Nothobranchius furzeri: one gene and its partner. The protein of the gene in region 2 purifies or fractionates together with the protein of the main gene of each other region. This does not show direct contact. Links are inferred from orthologs where the notes say so. Each region holds a gene or a part of one and is shown on either strand. Other genes may lie near its edges.

What was found. The genes of interacting proteins can lie anywhere in the genome.
Region 1: the proteins of slc39a4 (region 2) and 1-acyl-sn-glycerol-3-phosphate acyltransferase delta purify together in Homo sapiens (affinity purification with mass spectrometry; 3 studies listed by BioGRID and IntAct, with this or other methods). This does not show direct contact. The link is inferred for Nothobranchius furzeri from reciprocal best matches to the Homo sapiens genes SLC39A4 and AGPAT4.

What each region holds. Positions count from the first base shown.
Region 1 is NC_091752.1:17,897,645-17,901,593, reverse strand, and holds the start of 1-acyl-sn-glycerol-3-phosphate acyltransferase delta, read right to left. Parts: upstream 2,801-3,949; 5' UTR 2,583-2,800; coding exon 2,396-2,582; intron 2,261-2,395; coding exon 2,091-2,260; intron 2,015-2,090; coding exon 1,853-2,014; intron 1,760-1,852; coding exon 1,606-1,759; intron 1,529-1,605; coding exon 1,426-1,528; intron 1-1,425. UniProt on the Homo sapiens protein: Converts 1-acyl-sn-glycerol-3-phosphate (lysophosphatidic acid or LPA) into 1,2-diacyl-sn-glycerol-3-phosphate (phosphatidic acid or PA) by incorporating an acyl moiety at the sn-2 position of the glycerol backbone.
Region 2 is NC_091759.1:4,708,895-4,712,394, forward strand, and holds part of slc39a4 (zinc transporter ZIP4), read right to left. Parts: intron 3,429-3,500; coding exon 3,286-3,428; intron 2,925-3,285; coding exon 2,747-2,924; intron 2,568-2,746; coding exon 2,395-2,567; intron 2,308-2,394; coding exon 2,116-2,307; intron 1-2,115. UniProt on the Homo sapiens protein: Selective transporter that mediates the uptake of Zn(2+). Plays an essential role for dietary zinc uptake from small intestine. The Zn(2+) uniporter activity is regulated by zinc availability.

The DNA.
Region 1 (3,949 bases), on a different chromosome or scaffold from region 2:
TTAACAACGGTAGTTTCTGCTTCAGCCCTCTCCCCCCTCCCCCTGCGCAGCGGCCGCAAACTCACTGATGCACCTGCAGCCTCTCGGAGATCCTGCTGATCTAAACATTAAAATAATTATTTCATTTTCTGTTCCTCACTTCTGATTACCTTCAATGGTGTCTGTTTGTTGCAACCACCAGGTACAAAAACTAACTTGTTTTTATTTGACTATTTTTCAGTCCTGTATCTGTTTATTATCTTCCTGCATCTCCTCTCAGTCCTAAAGAAAAACTGCTACCTGGGTTCATATATATTCACCTTATGAGTTACTTTTGAACTGCAGTTCTAAAAGATCTACCGACCGCAAAAACAGTGGAGTGCTCGCTGCTCGCCGGCCGCACCGGTGAGGTGTGTCACCGGAGGACAAGGTGATGCGCCCCGCTCCACAGCAGTGAAACGCATCAGGCGCAAATAAAAGACAGAAAACATTAAAGGAAATGAGCCGACATGAACGATCGCATGTTGAATTAGTTTTTGAGGTGGCGACACCTGATTTGATGTTACTGTGGCCGTGCTCAGGACGCAGATGTCTGGAACACTTCAAAAATCAGAGCTTTGCATGCGCAAGCTGGTTAAGGTTAGGATGGGGGTGAGGGGAAGGTTAAATTGCAAGAGGGTAAACGTCACAATTTGGTTAAATGTCCGTTTTACGGCGGGTGTCAGTACCGACACTCTGGTACAGCGCGTTGCCCCTCCCGACGCGCAGGAGCTCGTCACCTGCCAACAGCAGGCTGCTGTCTTTTCCGAGGACTGCATCTTGCCGGTCATTATCACGTGACAGCGACTAGTCGATGACAGGCATAAAAAGTCACTATAGTGAAGTCGACTAGTGACTAGTTCATACAACCCCTGCTACTGCTCCCCAGAGTGTTCTGCAGCATAATCAGAACGTTCTTTTTGAACTTGATATCAAATTTTCGCCTCCTCTTCGTCTCCGCACGGTTAAAGTTACCCTCGCGGTCTATCGCTGGCAAATCAAAAGTTAGACTGATGACACAACCGCCCCCCCGTACTTGCTTGTTACCACATTCCACCCGGCCACAATTAAAAAACGGCCATTATTCACCTCCGCCGACTCCGACACCGGCCAAAATATGATACCCGGCCGTTAATTGAATACAGGCCTGTATTAGAGGATTTACGGTATCTGTACTTTACTAAAGTAATTATCTTGAGGCCTACTTTTTACTTTCACCCCACTACATATTAAAGCAGTTATTTGTACTTTCTACTCCACTACATCTTCCAAAAATTTTAAAAAGTAAAAGTACTTTACTTTGCATTTAATCCGACTCACAGTCCAATGGAGACTGGCAACACACCCCCTTGTCTGTGCTGGACTGCAGGTCCATATATAATAGTACTCTATTTGCACTGATCTTACCTCACATACAAATCTGCATGATATTTTTTTCCGTTGAGAACTCCGAGCAGAGTCGGAACTTCGTTGTCCCTGAAGTTTAGTGTTGAATCATAAACAGCTGCAGCTGCAAAGCAAAACACAACAGTCAGCTGGATGAGCTAATGCTACGCTATAATGTCTAAAATCTGTTCAGTTACTGACCAGTGCCTCTCAGGTTTTGGACAGTTACCCAGAATCCTTTGGTTCTGGGAAGAAGATGGTACTTTAGCTTTGGCAGACCTTTGCTCTGGGCCACTTGCATGCTGATCTGGTGCTTCTTTGGTGTGAAGCGCGTTCCTTCACAAAAAAGCAGGAACTTGTGGCAAAAATATCAGCATTTTAATTGTGACAGTTTTTTTTAAATAGGCCTAATTTTAAATTGAAATGACAAGGACCACACTAAACTCACCCAAAAGTGTTCAGGGTAATCCTTTAGGTTCTGAAGACTCTGCGTCACAGTTGTTCGGTCTTCCTCCCACTTCCTTTTGCAAAAAACTATCTCCAGGAAGTACCACATCCAGCCGATCACTGGCACATAAGCCAGCTCTTTTTTGGCTAACACCTTTGAGCTCTGGAGGGAGGAAAAAAGTAATGAAACGTTCACCTGATTGAGGTAAATAAAGTGTTGTGATTCTCAGTTTTCTCACCCCAAGAACTCCAAATCTGTCGCAGAAGGTCCAGCCACACAGAAAGTCAATTTCAAAGCTGTGGTTAAGAACCACAATTGCATTTTCCTTTCCATAAAGCGGATAGCTTTTTGGGTCTGTGTAGAGAGTGCATTCTGTCCCGGACCACCACTCCAGGGTTGCTACCAACTCTGTAGCCAGGTAAATAATCATTTGTTTACTCCTGACCTTAATTTACTACAACAATACCACCTTTTTTATTAGCTCTAAGCTACAAATGCAGCAAATTCCAACAGAAAAGAGATTACAATGTGATTTGTACGTACGACTAGCAATGCAGTAGCACAGTCTGATGTTGATCCTTCGAGCCAGCTGCTTACTGACCAGCCACAGAGGTAGAGTACAGAGCTGCAACAGGTTGACGATGAGGCCGCTCAACAGGAACACGTAGCAGATGAACAGGTGGGACAGGAACTGGGATTTCAGCAGCTGCAGGAACCCCATTCTGCCCATAAATGAGTTTAGAATTAAATCATTTATGTCACAACTTTTGATATTCAGCTTTTTCAGGGAAGATGGTCAGCTAATTTAGCAGAGGAGCGTCTCCCCAGCACCCGGAACGTAAGGGTTCCTTTGACCAGCCTGTCTTGATTCTTTCAATCAAAGGAACCTTTGAGCTCAGCTGTGTTACAACCAACCAATTACAGAGCAGCGATTAAAGCTCAGGAGATCACGTGATGGTGGTGTTCAGATGAAATCTGTGATGCGACTTTTTATCCCCAAAAGTAGTCAAATTCTTGGTTTAGCAGCTGTTTCACCCAAATGCGAGGCAGTCGTTTTTAATTGTACAGTTTACCTCAAACCGGTTTTCTGAGCTCCACGAATGAATCTTGACCTCCGGAACACTAGAACAGAATTCTCAGGAGTCCATCGCGCCACACGAACAGTTCCACTTCCGACTTAAGCCATGATTCATTCAACAAGACCCGTGTCTACCGCCCTGCTAACTATTTGTGTGTGTGTGCGTGCGTGCGTGTGTGTGTGTGTTTGTGCGTGCGTGTGTGTGTGTGTGTGTGTGTGAGACTTCCCACACGAGGGGCCACACCCATCTGAAAACTCCGCCTGTACTGGTGTGTGTGTGTGTGTGTGTGTGTGACACCTTCTAGAAATCATGGACGCAACGACCAGCCTCGCTGCAAAGATCGTTTATGTACCAAAAAGGAGAGTGTCCTGTAGCGCGCGCCTATCGAAGCCTTCGTACACGTCCATAACGGCACATATATGTTTTAGCTTTATGCTATGACAATTTAATGGAAGTTTCTGCTAGTCACGATCGCCCTCTTTGTTTTGCTACAGGAAAAGCACGGGGATGCGTGAAAACAATAGATAGGCGCATGCGCAGAGGCATTTTCTTTCTTTCTTTGAATGAATGAAAACGAAAAGGAAAAAAACAGGTTTGTGTGACAATAAGAAACACAAAAATTCCTTCTTCCTTTAGACTCTAAAGGAATTTTAGAGATAAAAATAAAGAAATAAAAGAAAAAAACAACCTACACCAATAATTAAGTTATGTTTTAGTTTAATTCCACTCATAAGGTAATTTCATCTTGCTGACACTAGAGGGAAATAAAGAATCACCAAAAACATTTTCCACAGTCAAGTATACAATTAGTGACGCTTTTGTAAAGTTTGAACACCTGTACTTTTCTTTTGCCCTGAAAAAGAAAGTTATAAGCGTGTAGCGTCCTATTCACTACAATAAAACTGATTTTAGAAACAATAACATCACACATTAGTAATGTTAAACAGAGGTTTGATCTGAACAAAAATTCAAGAAGTTTACATACAACAAAAATCACATTATTTGAAAATGGACAATG
Region 2 (3,500 bases):
ATAACCAATCAGATAAATGAAAATGCCGCACGGCGCTGTAGTTTGTTAGCTATAGTCAAAAATTGCGTCTGGCAACGACGCAAACATATTTTTTTAGAAGAAAGGCTTTTAGCGCTTCTACTTGTTATGGTTTTAAAGACATTCAAGTCATTTAGAACAGAGGAAAGAACTGCAGCGAACTCCACCGCTGTGTTCTTTGTTCATGAGAAACTGAGCGTTGCTGTTTGTGACGACCACGACGCTGTAGTTTTTTAGCAGTAGTCAAAAATGGCGTCTGGCGATAGCGCAAACATCTTTCTTTAGATGAAAGGCTTTTCTACTAGTTGTTTTAAAGGCGTGTTCAAGTCATTTAGAACAAAGGATAGAGCCGCAGCAAACTCCGCTTCAGTCGCCATGTTAATGACAAACTCGGCGTTGTGGTGTGTGACACACGCTACTCAGCGCTGATTGGCTCGGTTAGAATTCTCACGAGGTGGGGTTATTTGATTAGGAGAGTACCCAGAGCCTTTCTCTGTGCAGAATTAAACAGAGGAGGAGTCTGGTAGGCCAAGCTAGTGCCAGAGGCCCAGGAGACAATAATGGCAAGCCCCCAGGGAAGGCTGAGCTCAGAACTCAGCGGCCCGGGACCCAAGGGCGTTAAACCCCGGCGGAGACCCAACAGAGGTTTTGTAATTCGTTGACTAAATCCATATAAAGTATGGAAGTATAGAGCTGCCACCCACGCAAAATACATTATATAACAACTTTATTGTTACAAAACTATAACTTTCACTTTTGTGCAATATATTATAACATTCTTACCATAAAATTTTCACGTTTGTAAATCACTTTCTTACAATATAAATATTATATTGTACAAACATGAAAATAATATTGTTACAACATGATACTATATTGTACAAATGTGATAACATATTGTAAGAACTAGGGATGAGCGAGTACACCACTATCTGTATCTGTATCTGTTCAACCAACAAAATTATCTGTATCCGTATCTGTACTCGGAATGGGCGTGGCACAACCCAGAAGTGGGCGTGGTTTAACCGGAAGTGGGTGTGGTTTACATCAATATATTATTTTAAGTCTGAAATTGATATGGATTGATCAGAAGTTGATATGTGTATTGTTTATTTGAAAACTATTTACAGAGCAACCTCAGAATTGAGATTACGGTAAATATTTTTGATCACAATAGTAAAGGAACTATTACAGAACAAGTGTTTCAATAAAATCAGAACATTAATATTTAAGTGCATGGATTAATACATCTGAACTCATGCAGTAGGAACTAGGAAATATGAAATGCTAGAACCAGACACAACTTTATATATATTTTTTAATTTTAATTTGATTAAACTGATTTTTTCTTAACGTTCTTGGCATTTTTCCCACACAAAGTTAAACAAAACAATGTTGATTGAGATGTGTGTGTGTGTGTGTGTGTGTGTGTGTGTGTGTGTGTGTGTGTGTGTGTGTGTGTGTGTGTGTGTGTGTGTGTGTGTGTGTGTGTGAGAGATAGAGAGGGAGAGAGAGGGAGTTAAAAAAAAAAAACCAACCGGAGCGGAGGTAGAGACACAGCATGTCAGCTCTGTCTTGTCAAATGCACCATGTAAGTTACGAAAAAAGTAACTTTAAATATTCAACCGAAAAAGAGGCGAGCTGAAGAAAACCTAGGGAAAACTGAAGAAACGTGAGCAACAGTGAAGCAATCACAGCGAGATCCGTTACTGTCTGTGTGTGTGCGTGGATGAGCCGGACGGACTGCGCTCTCGGCCGGCTAGAGAGTTTTGTGTGTAGGGAGGGGCGGGTGCTCTATGTGACTGGCCAAACACAGAGCGTGAAGAGAGTCAGTTACCCAATGAGGATTTTCCTTCAGCACGATTACAGATATTTACGAGGTTTACTCGTTTCATGCTCGTATTCGTCAAAAATGCTTTATCCGTACCGGATACTCGTCTGAAACGAGTATCTGACTCATCCCTAGTAAGAACAATAAAGTTAATATGTTATAATGCATATCACTCCAAGTTTTTTTTTCATGTGTGGCAGCTTTATGCTTCCATAGAAATAAGCTCTTTGCTGAGATGTTAATTAGAGGTTTGGTGTTGATCTGACCTCATGGTGATGGTGGTGATGATCCTTTTCTTGTGTAACCATAGAGAAGATGGTTTCCATCAGGTAAAAGATGTAGATCCCTCCGATTGTTGCCAGCATCTTCCATATGTAGTCTGGAATTTCTTCATTCTGTCTAGAATGTCGGTGACGTGCATCATCATCATCATCTGAGTGAATGTGTAAACTCAGAAACTAAAACAAAAGAAAAAAATCCTAAATTTATGTTCTTATAATCAGTGCAATAGAAAATCATTGTCAGGATAAAAAATAATCACTCACCATAGGGATCAAGTGCAGCAGGGCATCTCCGGTGAGCGATCCTACAGCCATGCTAATGCAGAACTGGATGCACAACTGGAAAATGTTGGTGCACGAGGTGCACAGCAGCACCACGATCCCAAACATGGATGCCAGGGTGATGATCACATTGGCGAGGGTTGCGTAGAGGTACCCTGCCACAGGAAAGCAAGAGAAAAGAGATTTCCTACTCTCCTATGTCATGGACCACAGCTTTAAGAGAGCGTGTTAGAATTAGGATTTCCCTTATACCCAATCATTTCTTAACATCAGATGAAAGTTTAAAATTCTGGCATGAAAGGCAGCATTTACTTTAGGTCAACAACAGACTTACGGTCGGTCTTGGAGAGTTCATCTGGGGTCACCGAGTCTGTGGTGGCTGCACAGGAGCCACTCAGGATCTGCTGGATGAGCGCAGGACTGAGCTGAACCACTTCAGATCGACCCATACTGGAGGAGTTTTTATCAGACAGACCAAAGATCCGGACCAGTTCTTCAGCTGAGAAACAGCGCTAGAAGAAAGCAACAGAAAAAACTTTGTGTTTTTGTCTCTCTTTGCTCAAATGTTATTAGCCGTCATGCAAAAATAAGACAACAATCCTGATTTGTCAGGAAGTGGTTTAAAAACCAGCTCCTCCATTGGGATGCCCCATCCTGGTCCTGGAGGACCAGTATTCTGCATGTTTTAGTGGTTTTCCTTGCTTCAACACACCTGATTTTAAATAGCAGGTGATTAACAGGCTTCTGGGAGCTTGGTGTGTTGCTGAACAGGTGATCCAACCACTGAATCAAGTGTGTCGGAGTGGAGAAACAGCTAAAATACGCTGGATACCAACCTTCCAGGACCAGGATTAGGCACCTCTATGTGCTTACATGCTCCCATGTGCTGTTACTCTCATGAGACTCATGACGTTCATAGCTGCTTCTCTTCCTCCGATAATGGTCAGCATGTTCATGGTCGTGTCCACGATCTTCCTCTTGTCCAAGCTTCAGCCTCCACATGAGGACCTTCAAATCTGCAGGGTATAAACAGGCAATACAGCTTGGTGAAATAAGTACATACTGAATACAAATCACTACCTAATACT